3 linked regions of the Macaca fascicularis genome follow. The protein of the gene in region 1 interacts with the protein of each later gene in a pairwise test. Links are inferred from orthologs where the notes say so. Each region holds a gene or a part of one and is shown in the gene's direction. Other genes may lie near its edges. The genes, in order: DDIT3, FOSL2 and DBP.

The links.
Region 2: the proteins of DDIT3 (region 1) and FOSL2 interact in binary tests that used the Homo sapiens proteins (3 or more experiments, as listed by UniProt). The two-hybrid records come from large-scale screens. The link is inferred for Macaca fascicularis from reciprocal best matches to the Homo sapiens genes DDIT3 and FOSL2.
Region 3: the proteins of DDIT3 (region 1) and DBP interact in binary tests that used the Homo sapiens proteins (3 or more experiments, as listed by UniProt). The link is inferred for Macaca fascicularis from reciprocal best matches to the Homo sapiens genes DDIT3 and DBP.

Annotation. Positions count from the first base shown.
Region 1 is NC_088385.1:64,328,144-64,331,885, reverse strand, and holds the start of DDIT3 (DNA damage-inducible transcript 3 protein), read left to right. Parts: upstream 1-1,149; 5' UTR 1,150-1,264; intron 1,265-1,335; exon of another isoform or gene 1,336-1,370; coding exon of another isoform or gene 1,371-1,433; intron 1,434-3,742. Other genes in the region: DDIT3 upstream open reading frame protein, read left to right, coding at 1,371-1,433. UniProt on the Homo sapiens protein: Multifunctional transcription factor in endoplasmic reticulum (ER) stress response. Plays an essential role in the response to a wide variety of cell stresses and induces cell cycle arrest and apoptosis in response to ER stress.
Region 2 is NC_088387.1:93,833,054-93,836,795, reverse strand, and holds the start of FOSL2 (fos-related antigen 2), read left to right. Parts: upstream 1-1,440; 5' UTR 1,441-2,285; coding exon 2,286-2,387; intron 2,388-3,030; exon of another isoform or gene 3,031-3,742.
Region 3 is NC_088393.1:56,630,092-56,633,833, reverse strand, and holds the start of DBP (D site-binding protein), read left to right. Parts: upstream 1-1,373; 5' UTR 1,374-1,744; coding exon 1,745-1,883; intron 1,884-2,741; coding exon 2,742-3,152; exon of another isoform or gene 3,153-3,742. Other genes in the region: CA11 (carbonic anhydrase-related protein 11), read left to right, coding at 237-352, 598-705. UniProt on the Homo sapiens protein: This transcriptional activator recognizes and binds to the sequence 5'-RTTAYGTAAY-3' found in the promoter of genes such as albumin, CYP2A4 and CYP2A5. It is not essential for circadian rhythm generation, but modulates important clock output genes.

The DNA of each region.
Region 1 (3,742 bases):
GGCGGTCCTGCGCTGAAGTGCACTTACACGTCCCAGGATGAGACTCCGCTGTAAATCTCGACCCGAACACCTAGGAGGCAGGCCTGTGCCGCGCTCCTCACAGCAGGGAGTCACAGGACTTGCTGTCTGGTACAGCAAGAGAGGGTCTTGGTATTGGAGAAAGCCGTAAGAGTATAGTGGGGGAAAATAGGTGGCCAAACAGAATTGGGTCCACTGGGTAAAATACATGACTTCTGGCAGGCTGAGGGCTTAGCAACTCCAAGGTAAAAGTCAAGGGCGCTGTTGTGAGAGAAGCGGAAAATGACTACCAAGGGATTCCAGTACCTCGGCCCCTTTTGGGAGATTTACGGGGCTAGACGACCCCGGTTTTTTTTATTTGTTTTTCGTTTTCGGTGAAACGTAGTCTCGCTCTGTCACCCAGGCTGGAGTGCAGTGGCGCGATCTCGGTCACTGCAACATACGCCACCAGGGTTCAAGCGATTCTCCTGCCTCAGCCTCCAGAGTAGCTGGGATTACAGGCGCGCATCACCACACCCGGCTAATTTTTGTATTTTTAGTAGAGACGGGGTTTCACCATGTTGGTCAGGCTGATCTGGAACTCCTGACCTGAAGTGATCCGCTCTCCTCAGCCTCCCAAAGTGCTGGGATTATAGGCATGAGTCACCGAGCCCGGAGACCTCTCTAAGACTCTCGAGATGTCGACAATCCCAGTGGATGGATACCAACTTTCAAAGGAAAAGTTCAAAAGGCCTATATGACCATTAGCTGGGAGGGGCCAAGGAAAATGGGAGTCCCTTATAGTGGAGGTAAAACGCCGGCTAAAGCTCGGTGGGCGGAACAGCAGCTTCTGGGGGAGACAAGCGGCAAAGAGGCTCCACACGACCGACTACGGACGGCCAACGCTGATAGCCGTTGGGGCCGTTGGGCGCCGGGAGCTGGCGCCCCGCCCTCTCTCCTTTCCCCCACCCTCTGCACCTCCCACCACCCTCGTAGTCCCCTGCGCGTGCGCGTGCAGACACCAGTTGCCAAACATTGCATCATCCCCGCCCCCCTTTCCTCCCCTCCCCCCGCTACACTCCCCTCCGCGCGCGCGCATGACTCACCCACCGCCTCCGTGAAGCCTCGTGACCCAAAGCCACTTCCGGGTCCGACACTACGTCGACCCCCTAGCGAGAGGGAGCGACGGGGGCGGTTCTGCGGAGCTCCTGAGTGGCGGATACGAGGGACGAGGCGGGGCCAATGCCGGCGTGCCACTTTCTGATTGGTAGGTTTTGGGGTCCCGCCCCTGAGAGGAGGGCAAGGCCATGGTAAAAGATTACAGCTAGGCGCTCCCGAGGTCAGAGGCTTAAGTCTAAGGCACTGAGCGTATCATGTTGAAGATGAGCGGGTGGCAGCGACAGAGCCAAAATCAGAGCTGGAACCTGAGGAGAGAGGCGAGTACTGACTCCCATCTGCCCTTTGCCCTCCCGTCTCCTCAGAGTTGGGGCATCCGCTCTTTAGGATTGGCCTCACGCCTCCACAGTGAAGTCAGGGACCGTCCGAGAGAGGAATGGGGAGAGTCCCTTATTCTGGGGTGGTGCTTACAAACCCCCATTGCTTCGGACGACAGCGTCTCTCCACCCCTGCCCGGAGCCGGAGCATGGGCCCTGCTCTGTGCTGCTGGGCAAAGGGACCTCGGCTGCCCTAGGGAAATTCATTCTCTCCCGTAGCCAACTTCAGGCCACCTCGTTAGGCCTGTCCGCGGGGAGGCAGCAGGACACACCCCCGCTCTAAGACTGAGTTACCATCGCTCAAACCGTTTCCGCCCGTTCGCCACCATCGGCCTTCTCCCTACCCTACCCCCAATCCTGTCTCAGTCTCAGCGTCTCTGGTGTCAGCATGGCCACCTCGGTAGCTGGGGCTACTGGACCCTGCAGGGCTGAAAGGGGAACCTTGACACAAGCCTTTGGGAGGGGTGCCGATGGACAGGGAGCGGTGTGTTTTCCCTTTGCCGTAGAGGTCTCTGGGCCTCCCGCACAAGAGAGCAGCCTGGATCTCTTAAGTGTAGGAGGCCATTTGGGGTCTCCCCAGGGTATCGTCCTTCCCTCGGGATTAGTCCCTGCCTCTTTAACCCGGTCCTGTCTCCCAGCTAATCTCTGTGTAACCATTGCATCAGGCCAGCCCCGTTTGGCTCTGCAGCCTTCTGACCTGAGGCTCCACTGCTGATGAAAGCCAAGTCCCACGCACTGGAAGGCAAGGGAGGGTTCCCCAGGGAAGACAGCCCTGCAGAGAAATATTTCGGGCAATATTGCATCTCCAGTCCCTAGGGATCGGCAGCTGCCACTCTGCGTCTGCCCCTTCCCTATAAGAGAGATTGGGGAGAATTCATTCATTCTTAACAAATACTTAATGAGGACCTACTGTGTGCCAAACAGTTTGGGGCTCAGGGAACATCCGTGAGCAAGAGGAAAAAATCATCTCAGTGGGAGGCCTACAGTAAACAAAATATAAGTGCCATGGAGAAAGCTAAAGCAGAGAAAGGAATGGAGAATGTTCAGGATGGAGGTTACTGTGTTACATCAGGTGGTCAGGAATTACCTTAGGTAATTCCTCCTCTCAAAACCCTCCAATGACTTCCCTGACATGACATAGGAAGTCACTGGAGAGTTTTGAGCAGAGGAATGACCTGTTTTAAAAGGTTCACTCAGGCTGCTGTATGGTGAATAGACTTACGGAGGGGTGGCAAGAGAAGAAATGGGAAGACCTTCTGCAATCAGGAAGTTTCTGCAGTAATTGAGAGATGGTGGTGAATTGATCTAGATTGGAAAGAATGGAATTAGAGGTGTTTAAATTCTTCTAAGCAAAGTTTTAAAAACTCATTTTTAAAGAATGAGTTAAGGGCCGGGCATGGTGGCTCATGCCTGTAATCCCAGCACTTTAGGAGACCAGAGGAGTGGATCACACGAAGTCAGGAGTTCAAGACCAGCCTGGCCAACGTGAAACCCCATCTTTACTAAAAATACAAAAATCAGCCAGGCATGGTAGTGCATGCCTGTAATCCCAGCTACTCAGGAGGCTGAGGCAGGAGAATCGCTTGAACCCAGGAGGCAAAGGTTGCAGAGCGGAGATTGTGCCACTGCCCTCTAGCCTGGGCAAAAAGAGGGAGACCCGTCTCAAAAAAAAAAAAAAAAAAAGTTAAAATTTGCTAGTACTTTGGATTGCAGGGTGTGAGAGGAATGAAGGATGATACCAAGGTTTTTAGCTTAAGCAACTAGAGTTGTCATCTGAGATGGGGATGACCTTGGAAGGGGAAAATCAACAAGTTTGCACATAGTCTTAGGTACCTATTAGACATTGAAAAAGAAATGGCAAGTAGGCAGTAGACAGCAGAGTCGGAAGTTCTGGAAGAGGTCCAGACTGGAAATACACATTTGGAGGATGTCAGTGTGGGAATGGAGTTAGGAAAATGCTACAGGATGTCAGTGTGGGAATGGAGTTAGGAAAATGCTACGATTTGTTCCCTTCCCTATAGTTTAGTCTTTACCCTGGCAGGTTTAAGGCCTGCCTTGAATTTAGAGAAAGCTGAGTTGGCCAGAACTTTGCTATTATGTAACCAGGACTACAAATGTCAGCAACTAAAAATAAAGTCAGGCCCTCTTCTGCCCTTGGAAATGGCTACAGGGACCAAGTATGCATACCCCACAAGACCAGAAGTAAGGACGGACCAGTAGGAGGCTGGAGATAAAAGAAAAATAAGGGCCCA
Region 2 (3,742 bases), on another chromosome or scaffold:
CTTTGGGGCCTCATAAGGACCCTGTGGGGTACAGACGGCTGGTGCTACTTAAGAATTGGGTAAACTGAGGCTAACAGACCCTGGGCCAGAACCTAAGTTCCCTGAATTCCGCTACAGTACTTCTCCATTCACACACCATCATCTCAGCAGAAGGACTGGAGCTCCAGAGCAGAGAAGGGCCTAAGGTCATGGCTCCAAACTCCTTCCCTTTATAGGAGGAAACTGAGGCCCAGAGAGGTTAAGGAATTGGTCTAAGATCTCACAGCTCGTAAATAGCGTAGCCGGGCGTTCCTGCTCCAAGGTCTGTGCTCTGTACCCTGCGCCGCGCCCCTCCCAGCCCCGCCCAGTGAGGGAGGAGGACCCAAGTGTCCGGCTACCCGCGCCCTGAACTTCGCTCCAAAACAGCTGAAGACGACAACGTTGGGGCACACCCTCTCGCTGGCTACTTTTTTTTTTTTTTTTTTTTTAATTCGTAACAGTCGGGAGTTTGCTTATGAACGCCCGATTACTCTTATTAGATGCGTCCTAATTGCTCGGCGTACAGGGCAGCCGGAATATCTTGCCCGGTTAATTTCATCTTCAAGGCTACTCCTAACGAATTAACTGTAGGACCGAAAACATGAAAAACAAAAATCAAAAAGGGAAGCGGTAGGCAGCCCGCCACGGAGGGAAAAATAGGCAGGCCAGCCCCGCCCGGCGCCGCGCCCCGCCAAGACCCGGCCGCAGGGCGGCGCGGGCACCCTGCGCGCCCCGGGCGCCCGCTGCACTCGGCGGCGCCGCGAAGGGCGCCTACGACCGCGCGCGGCCGCGCCCTCCCTGCGAGCGGCTCTGCGCGCCCAGCTCCCGGCCTCCCGGTGGCGCCGCACCGAACCGCCCGTCTCCCCGTCAGGGCTGTGATTATTTTCTAAAATCCGGAGTCGAGACCGCGCGGCCGCTCTCGGGGCCCCGCCCCGCGCCCCTTCCCGGGGCGGGGGAGAGGCCACAGCGCACTCGGGAGCGGGCGAGGGAATCCCTCTCCCTCCACGTCACCCGAAAGCGAGGAAACCCGCACTCGCGTCCTCTAACGCAAATGACCATCTTTGGCAACGTGCGCCAATGGAACAGACCAAGGGCGCTGGGCCCGGGGGGTGAGCGGGGGGCGGGGGAGGGCCGGGGCTGCCTCGGCGCCCCCCAACCGTGCGGGCCGCCCGCTCCCGCCAGGGCCACCGCCTGGCTTCCTCGCGCGGGGTGCGCGGCTGGCGTCAGCGCGGCCGGGAGCCGGGGCTGGGAGGGAAGAGCTGCGCCCGCCTCCTCCCCTCCTGCGCCTCTTCCTCCTCCGCGGCCTCCTCCCCCCGCCTCCTCGTGCGCTCCTCCCTGCAAGGTGGAGTCTGGGGTTGACGTGAGTGAATCCACATGGTACAGGGCTGGAGAATAAAGAGTGTGAGTTGAACTCGTGCCATTGTAGTGACTCATCTCGGGCAGAGCGCTAGGGCTTCGAGCGAACCAGCGAGCGAGCGAACGAGCGGCGCTCGGCGGGGACAGAAAGAGGGAGAGGGAGAGGCGCGGTCGGGCGAGGCGGGCCCGTCCGGGAGCGGGCGCCGGGGAAGGGGTGCAGGTCCGGGCGCCGGAGCGGGGAGCAGGGCCGCGTCCCTCTCAGCGCCAGCTCAGCTTGAGCCCCACGAGCCGCTGTCCCCCTGGCGCGCTCGGGGCCGCGGGACGGGCGCACGCCGCCTTCTCCCAGTCAAGTATCCGAGCCGCCCCGAAACTCCGGCGGCGAGTCGGCCACGGGAAGTTTATTCTCCGGCTCCTTTTCTGAAAGGAAGAAACAGAAGTTTCTCCCAGCGGACAGCTTTTCTTTCCGCCTTTTTGGCCCTGTCTGAAATCGGAGGGTCCCGGGGGCTGGCAGGCCAGGCTCTCTGGGCTCCTAGTCTTTTTAATTTCCAATTTTTGATTGGGCCGTGGGTCCCGGCTGAGCTCCGGCTGCGCGCGGGGGCGGGAGGGCGCGCGCAGGGGAGGGACCGAGAGACGCGCCGACTTTTTAGAGGGAGGGACCGGGTGGACAACTGGTCCCGCGGCGTTCTCAGAGCCGGAAAGAAGTGCCGTAAGAGGCGCTCGGGGGACGCTGTTCCCGAGGTGTCGCCGCCTCCTTGTCCTCGCCCGCCGCGGTTGGGGAGAAACCCAGGAGCGAAACCCAGAGCCCGCGGCGCGGCCGGCGGACGAACGAGCGCGCAGCAGCCGGTGCGCGGCCGCGGCGAGGGCGGGGGAAGAAAAACACCCTGTTTCCCCTCCGGCCCCTACCGCGGATCATGTACCAGGATTATCCCGGGAACTTTGACACCTCGTCCCGGGGCAGCAGCGGCTCTCCTGCGCACGCCGAGTCGTACTCCAGCGGCGGCGGCGGCCAGCAGGTAGGTGCGGGCCCCGGTGCACCTGGCGGCGCGGGCGGACCCCTGCCCTCCTCTCGCCGCCACTGCCTCTTTTGCTTTCTTTTCCTTTTCTTAGCGAAAAAATACCTACGGGCCACCGTTGTTAAGTTCTGGATTTTCGTCCTCTCCTCCCCCACCACCCCCTTTTACATCAGGGGATTGGGGAGTGGGCTTGAAAAGACAACATGCCCTTTTCCTCCCACATTATATTTTACCCAGATAAACTCCTGGAATTGTAGGCCCCCTACCAGGAAGAGCCTGTTACCTCCTCCCATGAACTACTCCCCCTCCCCAGTGCCCGCCCCTCCTCGCCCCCCGCCCCGAGTCTTCTTTCTGGATGGTGGACAGACAAGAAAATCTTTGCACCCACTGGCACCTTTCGACATCCTGGGACCCTATTCTTTCAGGAAAGCTCTCTCTCTCTCCCCTCCTCGTTCTCCATCAGTCTTAGCTCCTTTCTGAAAGGGGTTGGGGATCCAGAAACATGGTTGGACTCCTTCAAGTAATCTGGAGCGAGGGCGAGGGCTGCCGCTCTGGGAATCAGGTGCGAAGGTCAGGAAGGAAGAAGCCAGCCTTGATTGGCTCATGCCGCCTGTGTGCCCAGTGCCTGCCCGCCTGCCCGCCCGTCTTCTGTAAGGGTCGAGGACAGGAGGCTGCACTGCCCCGCAGGAACGAAGGAGCACCGTGAGGGTCTGGGGGTACCTGGAGCAAGGAGGCCGGCAGAGAGAACAGGGGGTCGGTGGGGGAAGAGACATCACACAGGCTCCTGGGTGGTTCTGGAAGCAGAAAACAACTTGTTTCTAAAGCAGCCGGACTGGTTTGCGGTGGAGGGATTGTGCGTGTGATCTCTGTGTTTATAAATACCAGGAAGGTACTGTTGTTGCGGGGCGGGGGGGGTGCTGATGGCGTGCCTGCCCTCTGCTGCGGCTCCCCACCCGCTCTGTCTCAAGAGAGAGCTGGGTTAACGCAGGCCCAATACAACATGCAGCCCACGGTGGTCAGCATCTGTGGAGTCTAGCACAGTTGGCTGCAGCAAGGGATGCTCCATAAGGCGGTGGCCTTGGCCTCTAGAAGGGGCTGGGGTGGGCTTCCAGGGAGGGGTAGATTCAGCTGGAAAGTCTTATGGAACATGGCTCTCTTTTGGATCTGATGAGGGATCCCTTGTTCCAAAGTGATTCCCTATACCTGATGAGTCCCCAAAATGGCTTTTCTGCCTTCCCTCTGCCTCCCATGGTGCTCCTATAAGCACCCGCAGTAGAGACAGCCTGGTCTGTTCATTGAGGGTGCAGTCAATGCACCGTTCGTATTGAGCACCAAGGTGATGAGTTTTAAATCCG
Region 3 (3,742 bases), on another chromosome or scaffold:
TAGCCTCCTGAGCTGTCTCTTTTTCTCTCTCTCCCTACATATCAACGTGGCACAGTCCACCTTCCAGCCCTAGGTCATTGCTGTCGCACGATTTGTCTTTCCTCTTCACTGCTTTGTAACTTGGTCTATAACCCTTGACCCCTGCCTTCCTATGGTGCGATTACCTACTGTTCTGTGCTTCCTATTACTGTGAATTTCCAAAATGGTACAATTTGGATCCTCTCTCCCTTTCCAAGTCGTACTACTCTACGCTGTTCCACAATCTGATGCTCCTTTCCCCCTTACTGAGAATCTACAACTGCCTCCCTGTGGTTCAGCCCAGGGATCTCACACCCCCCGGCTTCGCAACATGGTACAGTCCACACCCCCCATGAAGACCTTCAGGTAGTTCAGCCTAATGCTGAATCTGGACATCCCGATTCCCCCCTCCTGTTGGCTTCTTGTGGTTCAGCCCAGTGCTTCTCGACCTGGTACATTCTGGTTCCCCGCTCACAGACTTCCGATGGTAGAGCCCTGCGCGGCCCAGCCCACGCCCCCTGCACGCCCCCTGCCCCTTCCATCCTAAACTGACGCCTGCCGTTGTTCTCTGTCTTACAGTGGATGGTGCCCCCCATGGTCGCTGAGACTCCCCTTCGAGTATTGCACCCGCCCGTCCTAAGCCTCCCCACACGGCTAGGGGAGTTACTCCTAAAACAAAGCTATTAAAGGGACAGAACACTTCTTGTTTCTCAGTGGTCTGATTCTAGGCGCGGTGGGGAAACATTTGGGTATTAAAGAACAGACTTCTTCCGGAAACCAATCTTCCTCTTTTTAAGCCCCCGCTACTCGGCATTTTGGCTTCCTGCTTCTCAAAACCATCATTAGGACCGCGGCCCCTTTAAGCGGCGCCCCTCTTCCCCCATCACACCCCTTACCACTAGGCAGCACGAGCAGAGCCATGTGCTTCCCCCTCCCGCCTGCTTCATTGGCCCAAACTGGGTCACGGTCCCGCCCCCAGTACCGCCTCCCATTGGGCAAATGTAGGTCAGTGTCCCGCCTCCCACCGAAAGGCAAGGCAACTTCACGCGCTGAGCCCCTCACGCGCCCTCCTGGGCCCTGGCGTATCCAGAGGCCCCATTGGCTGTGCGTCTCAAGGGGTCGGAGACGATTGGCCTGTGTTTGCAGCCGGAGGGAGGCACGCGGCTGGGGTGCATGCCCACAGAGGCGGGCGGGGCTGGACGCGCCGGGCGGGGACCCGGAGGAGGGGCGCGCGCTGTGGCGTCGGGTGTTTTGGTTTGGATTTTTTTTCCGCGAAAGAAGTTTGCTTTGGCCACGCCTCAAGGCGGCCGCCTCCTCCTGCCCCCTCCTCCGCCCCTCCGCGCACACCTCTCGGTGCAGATTGCAAAGCGCCTTCCGTTGCGAGAGCTGCAGATTTTGCAAGAGCCAGGCTCGCCCACCTTGTAGAAGGGGCGCCTTGGGTCCCCTCTCACCCTCGGTTGCAAAGGGCCGGCCGCTTGATTTGGACACCCCCTCGCCCAGACTGCATGATCTCCCGGGACCCTTTTGAGTTGCACGTTTCTGCACCGAGGACCTCAAATTCCCGTCGCTCCTAGGATTTGCAGCGTTCTGGATACTGGAGGGTTGCAGGCTACACTCGCCCGCCCCTGGGCAGACAGTCGTCCAAACCACTGGAGTGTGCCGGTGACTGGCAGGCCAGCCCTTCGCCTCTCCATGAACCCGTGAGCCTGGGGGCAGGTGCCAGGCGATGGCGCGGCCTGTGAGCGACAGGACCCCGGCCCCTCTGCTGCTGGGCGGCCCGGTCGGGACACCCCCTGGCGGGGGAGCGCTGCTTGGGCTGCGGAGCCTTCTGCAGGGGACCAGCAAGCCCAAAGAGCCGGCCAGCTGTGAGTTCTAACCCCCATCTCACCCAGTTCGGACACCCCACCCCCTTAAGGCCTCAAATGCCGTTGGTTGGGGGGTGGGGGCCCATAGACACCTCCTGTGTGGGGGGAGTCCATCTTCCCAACCTTAATCTACTCAATTATTCGGGTGTTTAGGCCCCTAGATCCCTCAGCGCCCAGGACCCAAAAGCGGCAGCTCTGAAGCCCGTCCACCCTAAGGTCCCCAAAGTCTTCCTCCCTCGGTTCACAGGAGTGTAGGCCCCAGCCTCCTCTTCCTTTGGTCCGGGAGTCTGGACCCCTGGGGTCCCAGGGAGGGGGTGTGTCGGGTGCTCACACGGTGGTGACACGGGCTTGGGCGGGGCGTCATGGGGTCACATGGAGTCTAGGGATGAGGAATGTGCCCCAGGAATAGAGCCCCTTCCTGTCCCTTACAGATGGTGGGGGAGGGGGAAGGGGGTACAGCGCGCAGGGGATGGGGTTGGGTAATTACAGCGGAATTACAGAGCTGTCATTTTTTTCTCTCACCTGCCCAACCCTCCACCTACCCTCTCCCTGCCCCCCTATTCCTGAACTTCCGTCCCTCTTTCTCTGGGTCGCTGTCTTTCTGTGTCTCAATCCCTTCCCGGCATTCTGTCCCCATCTCTGTGAATCTGTCCACCTGTCTCTGCCACCCCCGTCTCCGTTCTTTCTGGGTCTCTCTCCCACTCTGCGTCTCCGTCCCTTCATTTCCCGTCTCTCCTCTCCGACTCCCCATCCCCTCTTTCTCTGGATCTCTGCCCTGTGCCTCTCGGACTCGGGGTCTCTTCTCCCATCTCTATCTCCACCCCCCCGCCATCCCAACCCGTCTTTCCCGGCCCGCAGGTCTCCTGAAGGAAAAGGAGCGCAAGGCGGCCCTGCCCGCAGCCACAACCCCTGGGCCAGGCCTGGAGACTGCGGGCCCGGCGGATGCCCCGGCTGGGGCGGTGGTGGGCGGCGGGTCCCCGCGGGGGCGCCCGGGGCCAGTTTCCGCCCCGGGTCTGTTGGCGCCACTGCTTTGGGAGCGCACGCTGCCGTTCGGCGATGTGGAGTACGTGGACCTGGACGCCTTCCTGCTGGAGCACGGGCTCCCGCCCAGCCCGCCGCCCCCCGGTGGCCCATCGCCGGAGCCGTCGCCCGCGCGGACGCCCGCACCCTCCCCAGGGCCGGGCTCGTGCGGCTCCGCTTCCCCCCGCTCCTCTCCTGGGCACGCCCCCGCCCGGGCTGCCCTCGGGGCCGCCAGCGGCCACCGCGCAGGTGCGGCGAAGGGGGCGGGGCGGGTCCTGACGAGGCGGGGCTTGGACTCAGGGGGCGGGGCTGTGCGACGCAGGGGGCTGGGACCGTGGGACCCGGCTGCCGCCCCGCATTTTGTGTCCAGTTGTCGAGCGGTGTCGTGGGAGGGGGCCAGATTCTGTGTCTCTTAATGGGTCAGGAACTTGGTCTTCTGGCTCCATAGGGGAGGAGAGACTTGGAACCCTAAATTCCAGGAAGCCTGCCCAATGAGATTTTGTGGGTTTTTCTGTGGGACGTGGGGACAAAGGATGTGGATACTCGTGAAGCCAGAACTGGAAGTCCGGAACACCAGAGTTATTTACTGGGCAGTGGACTGACCCCAGAATCTGGGCCCATAATCGATGGAACTGGGATAGAACTGGAGCCCCTAGGTCCTTTACAGGAGCAAAGGAGGGGCGCAGAATTCTGTTTACCCAGGACATAAGAGACTGGCAGCCCAGTTCTTGGGTCCCCCAGTGGGGCGTGCTGCAGCCCCGGGTCCCAGAGTTCTTCAGAAGGGAAGACGTTAGGGATCTTGTTTCTGGATTCTCCAACTGGGGCTAGGACCAAGCTTC